Saccharomyces cerevisiae S288C: one gene and its partners. Changing the gene in region 1 together with any one later gene gives a genetic interaction. Each region holds a gene or a part of one and is shown in the gene's direction. Other genes may lie near its edges.

What was found.
Region 2: mutations in MTC3 (region 1) and YME2 together harm fitness more than expected from each alone (negative genetic interaction), as found in Saccharomyces cerevisiae (2 studies listed by BioGRID).
Region 3: mutations in MTC3 (region 1) and TDP1 are lethal when combined (synthetic lethality), as found in Saccharomyces cerevisiae (one study listed by BioGRID).

What each region holds. Positions count from the first base shown.
Region 1 is NC_001139.9:71,799-74,360, forward strand, and holds MTC3 (Mtc3p), read left to right. Parts: upstream 1-1,541; coding exon 1,542-1,913; downstream 1,914-2,562. Other genes in the region: glucose-induced degradation complex subunit VID30, read left to right, coding at 1-749; OST5 (dolichyl-diphosphooligosaccharide--protein glycotransferase subunit), read right to left, coding at 951-1,190, 1,340-1,360. UniProt on the Saccharomyces cerevisiae protein: May be involved in telomere capping.
Region 2 is NC_001145.3:869,416-874,297, reverse strand, and holds YME2 (Yme2p), read left to right. Parts: upstream 1-1,672; coding exon 1,673-4,225; downstream 4,226-4,882. Other genes in the region: alcohol dehydrogenase ADH2, read left to right, coding at 1-1,007; ATP-binding cassette Fe/S cluster precursor transporter ATM1, read left to right, coding at 4,671-4,882. UniProt on the Saccharomyces cerevisiae protein: Plays a role in maintaining the mitochondrial genome and in controlling the mtDNA escape. Involved in the regulation of mtDNA nucleotide structure and number. May have a dispensable role in early maturation of pre-rRNA.
Region 3 is NC_001134.8:668,026-671,826, reverse strand, and holds TDP1 (tyrosyl-DNA phosphodiesterase 1), read left to right. Parts: upstream 1-1,529; coding exon 1,530-3,164; downstream 3,165-3,801. Other genes in the region: YBR225W (uncharacterized protein), read right to left, coding at 1-1,200; PCS60 (Pcs60p), read left to right, coding at 3,476-3,801. UniProt on the Saccharomyces cerevisiae protein: DNA repair enzyme that can remove a variety of covalent adducts from DNA through hydrolysis of a 3'-phosphodiester bond, giving rise to DNA with a free 3' phosphate.

The sequences.
Region 1 (2,562 bases):
TGCCTAATACATTAAACGTGATGATAAATGATTATTTGATCCACGAAGGATTGGTGGATGTTGCAAAGGGGTTTTTGAAAGATTTGCAAAAAGATGCGGTTAATGTCAATGGGCAACATTCTGAAAGTAAAGATGTTATCAGGCACAATGAAAGACAGATCATGAAAGAAGAACGTATGGTAAAGATAAGGCAAGAATTAAGATACTTGATAAACAAAGGTCAAATTAGCAAATGCATCAATTATATCGATAACGAAATTCCAGATCTGTTAAAAAATAATCTAGAATTGGTATTTGAGTTAAAACTAGCGAATTATCTGGTGATGATTAAAAAGAGTTCATCCAAAGATGATGACGAAATTGAAAATTTAATTTTGAAGGGTCAAGAATTATCTAATGAATTTATCTACGATACTAAAATTCCACAATCTTTGAGGGATAGGTTTAGTGGACAATTGAGTAATGTCTCTGCATTGTTAGCATATTCCAATCCACTTGTGGAGGCACCAAAGGAGATATCAGGATATTTGAGTGACGAATACTTACAAGAGAGATTATTTCAAGTTAGTAACAACACAATACTAACATTTTTACATAAGGATAGCGAATGCGCATTAGAGAATGTAATATCAAACACTAGAGCTATGCTTTCTACATTACTTGAGTATAACGCGTTCGGTTCAACCAACTCTTCAGATCCAAGATATTACAAAGCTATTAACTTCGACGAAGATGTGTTGAATTTATGAGCATAAAACAAGCACCTTCAAACAACAAAGCCATGTGATATCAGTCATTATCTTCCCAAAAATCGCATATTAATATGTCTTAAACCGTTTATATAATGAAATTTACTTGACACCTTTCTTTTTAATATTCTCATCCAAAATACTTCTTAAGTATAGTATATAATTTCATCGATAATTCCTTTATAGGCCAACGAAGAGCCACTAGACGTAGACACCGAAAGAATTCGAAGCAAAAACAGTGGTCAAGCCAGCAAACAAGCTGCCAATTACACTTAAAATTGTGTAGAAGAAGAGTTTCTTAATGTATGAAGATTTAGAACCGACGGCGAACAGGGCAGATGATAATACAGCTAATGTAACGATTAAACCACAAATTGCAAATTTTGGTTGAGTGTCTAAGTGGATAAATGGCTGGAAGCTCTTTGAGGAATGGAACTCTTTCTTAAGTGATTACACAAATGCCGAGAAGGCGAATTGGCTATACTTGTTAGTAATTATGAATTAGAAAACAGGAAGGGAACTATTCATTGTCCTGTGTGTTGTTAAAAACATCAAAAGAATAGCATCAACCAGCGTTACAGGCAACGTACGTATAATTGTTCATAAGTCATTGTAAACCTTGAATATGCAGGGATATCTCTCACTGCTTATGTTTTGCCTATTTACAGTATACGTTTTATGTGTACTTGCATCCTTCTTCGAAAAGTATTTGCAATTTCAAATTTCGCGTCAAAGAAAAGAGAAGACCACCCAAAAGATATCATTTCAACATAGGTAGAAATAAGGCAGAAGATGATGGGACGAAACGGTATTCGGCTAGCACTGAAAAGATCTTTCAGCACTTATCAGCCACCGGTAGTAGAGATTACGAATATAACGAAGTTATGGCCCACTCTACGACCTGAAGTTAGGGATGAAATCAAGGAATACTTACGATGGAGGATGCAAGAAGATTGGAGACATATACCGCTGGAGGAGACCAAAGCAGCGTATTTCTTATCTTATGGACCCTGTGGTGGCAGATCCAAGGGCAACGAATGGAACGTAGGGTACACGGGAATGCGGATAGTGTTCAACCTTGTTTTATTTGGCGGTGCAGCGACTGCATTTTATAATTGGAAACAAGATAAAAAGCTAGAGGAACAATTAAGGGATCTTGTATAAATTGGAAGCAACAATAGTATATATATATATGCGCTTGCGCAGAGTACGTTCTATTCATTTTTTATCATTCATTATCTATCCCTGTAAATAAACTAATATAAAAATTCAAAAAAATAATGATTTCGCCCAGGATCGAACTGGGGACGTTCTGCGTGTTAAGCAGATGCCATAACCGACTAGACCACGAAACCACTTAATTGAAATATACAACCCCAAGATAAGATACTTGCTTCATAGTTTAGTTGTAAAATTGAAGTTCAGTACAACATGGCACTAGTATAAAAAAAAGTTTACCAGCCATTACTGCGCACTTACCTACATTAGTCACTCTTAGCGTATATTCTAAATACGCTTAGAGACGTCTCCTTACTATTTTTCATACGTATAACTCTCAAAGGACAGTATAGACATATCCCTGGGGGCTTTTAGAGTGCAGCCTCTGGAGGTCTACACACGTTAATAGTCTCAAAAAATACGCTAATATTTGTTAAATAAGCGAATAGGTCTTCATGTGCGCCTGAATCAGTAGCTGTCTACATGGTAAAGAGTAATTTGTTGACACGAAAATTGATAGTTGGTTAAAAAATATTGCAGATTCAATACTACATGAAAGACTTAATTACAAGATAGACTGATGGTGAAAAAAGAA
Region 2 (4,882 bases), on another chromosome or scaffold:
AATCCAACGGCAAGTTGGAGCATAAGGATATCCCAGTTCCAAAGCCAAAGCCCAACGAATTGTTAATCAACGTCAAGTACTCTGGTGTCTGCCACACCGATTTGCACGCTTGGCATGGTGACTGGCCATTGCCAACTAAGTTACCATTAGTTGGTGGTCACGAAGGTGCCGGTGTCGTTGTCGGCATGGGTGAAAACGTTAAGGGCTGGAAGATCGGTGACTACGCCGGTATCAAATGGTTGAACGGTTCTTGTATGGCCTGTGAATACTGTGAATTGGGTAACGAATCCAACTGTCCTCACGCTGACTTGTCTGGTTACACCCACGACGGTTCTTTCCAAGAATACGCTACCGCTGACGCTGTTCAAGCCGCTCACATTCCTCAAGGTACTGACTTGGCTGAAGTCGCGCCAATCTTGTGTGCTGGTATCACCGTATACAAGGCTTTGAAGTCTGCCAACTTGAGAGCAGGCCACTGGGCGGCCATTTCTGGTGCTGCTGGTGGTCTAGGTTCTTTGGCTGTTCAATATGCTAAGGCGATGGGTTACAGAGTCTTAGGTATTGATGGTGGTCCAGGAAAGGAAGAATTGTTTACCTCGCTCGGTGGTGAAGTATTCATCGACTTCACCAAAGAGAAGGACATTGTTAGCGCAGTCGTTAAGGCTACCAACGGCGGTGCCCACGGTATCATCAATGTTTCCGTTTCCGAAGCCGCTATCGAAGCTTCTACCAGATACTGTAGGGCGAACGGTACTGTTGTCTTGGTTGGTTTGCCAGCCGGTGCAAAGTGCTCCTCTGATGTCTTCAACCACGTTGTCAAGTCTATCTCCATTGTCGGCTCTTACGTGGGGAACAGAGCTGATACCAGAGAAGCCTTAGATTTCTTTGCCAGAGGTCTAGTCAAGTCTCCAATAAAGGTAGTTGGCTTATCCAGTTTACCAGAAATTTACGAAAAGATGGAGAAGGGCCAAATTGCTGGTAGATACGTTGTTGACACTTCTAAATAAGCGGATCTCTTATGTCTTTACGATTTATAGTTTTCATTATCAAGTATGCCTATATTAGTATATAGCATCTTTAGATGACAGTGTTCGAAGTTTCACGAATAAAAGATAATATTCTACTTTTTGCTCCCACCGCGTTTGCTAGCACGAGTGAACACCATCCCTCGCCTGTGAGTTGTACCCATTCCTCTAAACTGTAGACATGGTAGCTTCAGCAGTGTTCGTTATGTACGGCATCCTCCAACAAACAGTCGGTTATAGTTTGTCCTGCTCCTCTGAATCGTCTCCCTCGATATTTCTCATTTTCCTTCGCATGCCAGCATTGAAATGATCGAAGTTCAATGATGAAACGGTAATTCTTCTGTCATTTACTCATCTCATCTCATCAAGTTATATAATTCTATACGGATGTAATTTTTCACTTTTCGTCTTGACGTCCACCCTATAATTTCAATTATTGAACCCTCACAAATGATGCACTGCAATGTACACACCCTCATATAGTTTCTCAGGGCTTGATCAGGGTTCCGTAGATGGGAATTTGAGAAGTATAAGGGAGATAACGGTAATGTTATATTGAGAAAATGAAAGATGAACTCAGTATTGACAGGATCTAAAACCAAAATATAGCGGGCCTATACAGGAAGTAGTATTTGTAAAAGTAAACCATGTTGCTAGTACGAACGACTTCCCTGAATGTGTCAAGGATGCCAGTGCCATGCCTCGCCAGAGGAATAGGCATCCTCAAGGGCAAATATAGACTAGCGAACCTGATGAATGCCCAACCCTCAGTGAGACATGTGTCGAGCGAGATCCAGCAAAAGGATCAGCAGGCAGGAGAGTCAAACACCGCCACCGATACTGGTGTTATTCACAAATCAGATGAAGAAACTCTGATATATTTCGATAATGTTTACGCTAGAACCACCTCGGTTTGGAATCCAACACTGTGGTACAATCTCCTGCTAAGAAACCAGTCACGGGATGCAGTGAGGGAGAAAATAAGGAATTTAGCCAGTCCACCCAATAACCCCATTTATGGACTGGAGTTGAAGTCTACCATTCCAGTGAAAAGGGATGGTGGTGTATTTGCCACATTTGTCGTTCCACCCAAGTATACAAAAGCTCAGGTAAATTCTCTAATCCAACAGAATACAGCCAGAGAATCCTCTAAAAACTTACTCTCGTACTTCACTCGAGCTTCTGCCTTCCCAGTAAAGGGTTCGCCTTGGATTGAGGATTTAAGAAGACTACCAAGTACCACTATAGTCATCAAGTTCCAAGGGCCCGCCTTAACAGAAGAAGAAATATACTCTTTATTCAGAAGATATGGGACAATTATTGATATTTTCCCTCCCACTGCTGCTAACAACAATGTGGCAAAGGTAAGATACCGTTCATTCCGTGGTGCCATTTCTGCCAAGAATTGTGTTTCCGGTATCGAAATTCATAATACCGTCTTACACATACAATACGAAAATATCAGAAGAGGCCATCTAGTTAGTAATTTTTTCACCAACCATACAAGGATTGCTATTCCAGTTTTATTTGCGCTACTTTCAATCTTTGCTGTTTTAGTGTTTGATCCTATAAGAGAATTTTCGATTGAACAGAAGATCACTCACAAATATTCTTTATCGTGGGACAATAAGTTTTGGAAACAACTGAAAACGCTAACCTCATCTACCATGACTTCTATCAAGTACTACTGGGGCGGCCCTGATGATAATCACCAAAGAAAGCATTTATGGGAGGAAAGAATAGAGAAAGTGAATGACCTGAAAATGTGGCTTGAAGAAAATAATAATACTTTTGTGGTTATAAGGGGGCCTAGAGGTTCAGGGAAACATGATTTGGTCATGCAACACACTTTGCAAAATAGAGCAAATGTTTTGTATTTGGATTGTGATAAATTGATTAAGTCCAGAACAGATCCTATGTTTTTAAAAAATGCCGCTAGTCAATTGGGTTATTTCCCAATATTCCCATGGATTGACTCTGTCACAGGTGTCCTTGATTTAACAGTGCAAGGATTAACAGGGCAAAAAACTGGGTTGTCTGAGACGAAGGAATCTCGGTTTAGAAACATGTTAACTACCTCATTGATGTCCATTAGACGTATTGCTCTCAAGAATTACAAGGCTTTTGTTTCCACCGGTGATGGGACAGTTAATGTTAAGGAAGAAGATTACCTACAGCAACATCCGGAAGCTAAACCCGTTATCGTCATAGATAGGTTTGAGGGCAAGTCGGAAATAAATGGATTTGTGTATAAGGAACTATCCGATTGGGCAGCTATGCTAGTTCAAATGAATATTGCTCATGTGATTTTCTTAACGGAAACCGTTGCATCCAACCAAAGATTGAGCGAATCACTACCCAATCAAGTCTTCAAAAACCTAATCCTATCAGATGCCTCAAAAGAGAATTCGAGGAACTATGTATTATCCCAATTGGAGGATTACTTATATTACAATAAAAAATCCAAGGGTGAAAACGTAAAAGAACCTGAATCAGAAAAGGAAACTGCTGAAAATAATGATTCTGATAGTGAGGCCGATACGAGTGTCAAAAAAGCTGAGGTTATTTTAAATGAAAAGGAATTACAGGAAATTGACGCTTCTTTAGAGCCATTGGGTGGTAGGATGTTAGACTTACAGGCATTTGTAAGAAGGGTAAAGTCAGGAGAAGAGCCCTCGGAAGCAGTAGACAAAATGATTGAACAGGCTTCTGAGCAAATAACTCAAATGTTTTTAAGTGACAAGATTGACAGCAATAAAAGTGCACAAGCCTGGGAATTAATCGAATTATTGAGTGCGAACCCAGTCATTCCATTCCATGAAATCGTTAACAAGCCATTATTCAAAGCCGCACCAGAAACGGGAATCATGGAATTGGAGAATAATGGTTTAATAACTGTATCTAGAGATAGGGGTGTTTTACAGGAAATCAGGCCTGCCAAACCGCTATACAGGGCAGCATTCACATACTTGATCAACGATCCTGAACTCGCAAAAGTGCTAAAAACCCGTTACTTATTAAAGGTTGTGGGTTTTGAAACTGGTAGAATCAAGAAATGGGAAGAAGAATTAAAACCTTTGGGGAAAGTTCCTGATCAGAAACTTTTCAAGACCAGATTGGACTATTTATCCGGTAAAATCAATGCCAGTAATGCAGTCATTACCAAATGTGAAGAAGAAATTAAAAACCTATCTAAGTGATGAAACAAAACTTACTATTCTGCTTTTCTGTACATATGTGTAAACCCTATATTGCTATACTCATCTATATTCTTTTGAAAATGTATAAAAGTGACGATTGGAGATGGTGCAATTTTCTACGCAGCATGAAAAATATCTAAGGAAGGTAAGGTACATACCAAGTAAGTCTTATAATATGTTGTTGTACCTCACTTTACCATTCTTAAAGTCTTTAAAAGAAATTACCTTACCCAATTTGCACAGCAAAGGTCACTGACCTATACGTGCCCTTCATCAGATTACATCACGTGAAATTTCACTGGGAAAGAGCGCGAGGGCTTTCCGATGACTTTCTACATTAATAATCGCAAACAAAGCAATCAGCACAGCAAAGAGTACAATTTCGAAAATTGCGACAGAGCAACGTAAGTATATCGTTGTTGATAGATTCCACTCCAACCTGCAAATGCTGCTTCTTCCAAGATGTCCTGTAATTGGGCGAATTGTAAGATCAAAATTTAGATCTGGTCTAATCCGGAACCATTCGCCCGTTATATTTACTGTGTCTAAGTTATCAACCCAGCGGCCTCTGTTATTCAATTCAGCTGTGAATTTATGGAATCAAGCACAAAAGGATATTACGCACAAAAAATCCGTCGAGCAATTCTCGTCGGCTCC
Region 3 (3,801 bases), on another chromosome or scaffold:
GATGTCAATTTCGTCTAATGGATCCGATATTACTGGCCTTGGAGAGTTTGCTTCTATATCTAACTGCTGAATATATAATGTAGGGTCACTGATCTTGTTGCTGGTGGTGCTGATTGTTGGATTAGAATGTTGTCTTGTGGTTGGTTTTCTTTTTATTAGTTCCTCCACTACTTCAGATGAAAAGAAGAATGAATTTGATTGCAGTAAAAATTTTTGAGATTGAGCCAACCATAATTGAATCAAGGATTCAATTTCAGAATAATCTTTTAACGGGTCAAACGATGGAAAGCATTTAACCTCAGTCTCTATATTTATGATGTTTTCAATGTTAAATGGATAACATTCAAATGCATATTTCCTAGATTCCAAATATTTTGTTAGGAAATCAATGTACGACCGTAATCTTTTCTTGGCAAATATTAAAGAGTCTTCTGGCGAGGAGTCCATGTTAAAAGATAGAAACAAGTCCATTCTATTAAAGAGCTCATTATGATTCGGGTCGTACATTATTTGTTTGAATTCACCGTCTATGCAAATGTTGATTAAATTATGATTTCCTGAAACGGTTTTGATTAGAAGAGAAGAATCTGATGCCGGTAAAGTGTTCCAGTCCCATTTTTTTCTAGAATGGAGTTTCTTGACAACGTTCGAAGTTGCACCGTGTAGACCACCACCTCCCCGGCCATTGCCGACCATATTGGATACAATGAATCGCGGTGCAGAAGGGTCTGGTGAGTAATTAGCTTTCACTTCGGAAGTCGGAGTTCCGCTTCTATGACTATGTTTATTATTACTTGTATGATGATGATGTAGACCTATTTTGGAAAGCTGAGCGGACTTCAGTTTGGATACTGAGGATGAGGCAGCGGAGTCAGATGATCGTCTTGACGAGTTTGAGAACAAGTCATCCGCCAGTCTAAAGTTTGGCAAATGTAAGGGCGAATCAAAGGACGAGAGCTTATCTGAATGATGGCTTACTTGTGGTGAGTGTGATTCTACTGAACTACTTGATTGCGTGGTTCCATTTCTACTCTCTTTTTCTTGTTTCCCCTTTTCTTTGTCAGCATTTTTATGTTCAGTAATCATTGAACTTGTATGGTTATCATGTGCTTTTAAGTTGGAAATTTTGTTACTGGTTATACTGGTTAACCCCCTATCATTCTTACTATCAATGTTTTTTGCTTCCTTATTGGAGCCCATTGTATTTACTTGAGCAGTTTATAAAAAGTGGATAAATGAGGGGAAAAATAATAAAAAAGAAAATTGAACAATCCTTCAATATGTGTCCTTTAATAATTACTACTACTTTACACACTTCTCCAGTAGCTGCTGCTTGTTTCAGGTGATGTGAACAACGTGTTTCAGCGTTCTTGGTAAGTGTTGGTATGGATCCCTTCTGATGTATTTTCGGCGGCCGCACTAAACTGCGAAAATGGTAATTTAATAAAGGGCTTATAAAGAGGAAAATAATGCAGAGAAACGGTGAGCCCAGACAAGAATGATGATAATGTGTTTTCAACCGATCATTAATGTCACGAGAAACAAATTTCAATGGAACTAAGAGGAAGAGGTCGGATGTTGCCGAGAAAGTAGCACAACGGTGGAAGAGCGTCAGGTATAGTGCTGAAATGGAGAATATGGCTCCGGTCAACAGTAACAATGATAGCGACGACTGCGTCATAGTCAGTGAATCGAAAATCATTGATTTGACTAATCAGGAACAAGATTTGAGTGAGAGAATAGAAACAAACGATACGGCAAAAGGTGCCGTTTTTAAACTAATGAAATCGGACTTCTATGAAAGAGAGGATTTTATGGGAGAAGTAGAGGATATGATTACATTGAAAGATATCTTTGGCACTGAGACACTAAAAAGAAGCATACTCTTCAGTTTCCAATACGAACTTGATTTCTTGTTGAGACAATTCCACCAGAACGTAGAGAACATAACCATCGTCGGCCAAAAGGGTACTATTATGCCTATCGAAGCCCGTGCTATGGACGCGACACTGGCAGTAATATTAAAAAAGGTCAAACTTATTGAAATAACGATGCCCCCATTCGCTTCCCACCATACGAAGCTGATCATAAACTTTTACGATAATGGCGAATGCAAAATATTCTTGCCATCTAACAATTTTACGTCAATGGAGACTAACCTGCCTCAACAGGTGTGTTGGTGCAGTCCCCTTTTGAAAATAGGTAAAGAAGGGCTACCAGTACCGTTTAAGAGAAGCTTGATAGAATACCTCAATTCGTACCACCTGAAAGACATTGACGAATTGATTACAAAAAGCGTAGAGGAAGTTAACTTTGCTCCTTTGAGCGAATTAGAATTTGTATATTCTACGCCCTCCAAATTTCAGTCGTCGGGTTTACTGTCGTTTTACAATAAACTAGAAAAACTTTCTGCTGGCACAAGTGCTAGTGATACTGCAAAACATTATCTATGTCAAACTTCATCCATAGGGACATCTCTATCAAGAGCGCGAGACGAAAACTTATGGACACATCTAATGATTCCTCTGTTTACCGGAATCATGTCCCCTCCAGCAAAGGACACCGCTGGGAGGAAGAAAGCAGAAATACTGCCAACGAATTCATTGATTAATGAATATTCGCAGAGAAAAATCAAGCCGTACATTATTTTCCCCACCGAACAAGAGTTTGTCACCAGTCCCTTAAAGTGGTCCAGTTCCGGGTGGTTTCATTTTCAATATCTTCAGAAAAAGAGCTACTACGAAATGCTGCGAAACAAGTTCAAAGTATTTTACAAGCAAGACCCTGCTATGGTTACTAGAAGACGAGGGACGACGCCCGCGCACTCTAAGTTTTACATGCATTGTGCAACAAACTCCGCAGGGCCCTGTGATGCATCGCAGGTATTTAAAGAACTAGAATGGTGCCTTTATACTTCGGCAAACCTCAGCCAAACAGCATGGGGCACCGTTTCAAGAAAACCACGCAATTATGAAGCAGGAGTGCTTTACCATAGTCGCAGGTTAGCAAATACCAGGAAGGTCACGTGCCGTACTTTTACACGTGACCGTAGAGGCTGCGCGGGTAATCCCACCCATGTGGCCGTGCCATTCACGCTGCCAGTCATACCATACGACTTAGCTGAGGACGAGTGCTTTTGCCTTGCTCGTCATGAGAACGACTAACAAGTAAGAGCGCGATGTTGCTGTCCACTTAGGCATCACTATATGGGGCCAGGAATGGCAAATTTACTTGATAAACTTCAGGCGATTGGATTTTGGTGCTCAGAATATTTTTTTCTCGGGCCGAAAGCGTCTTTAACTATTCCGAGCTAAAGCTTCCGAGTCCTTTATTCGGTCTTTTTTTATTTTTCAAGATTAACTGTATATAAATAGAGATGGTATGATTAAAAGCTCTTTTTAATAGATGCTCCTTCTTGAAATTTACTCCCACTGTGCTGCAAGAGGTTAGACGCTTCACGCACATTTTTGCTACAATGACAAGTGCCGCTACTGTTACTGCTTCGTTCAACGATACTTTTAGCGTATCCGATAATGTCGCCGTTATTGTTCCTGAAACGGACACTCAGGTGACCTACAGGGATCTATCCCACATGGTGGGTCACTTCCAGACCATGTTCACAAATCCTAATTCTCCATTGTACGGAGCTGTTTTCAGACAAGATACAGTGGCGATATCCATGCGTAATGGGCTGGAATTTATCGTCGCTTTCCTCGGTGCTACTATGGACGCTAAAATTGGCGCGCCCTTGAATCCCAATTATAAGGAAAAGGAGTTCAATTTTTATTTGAATGACCTGAA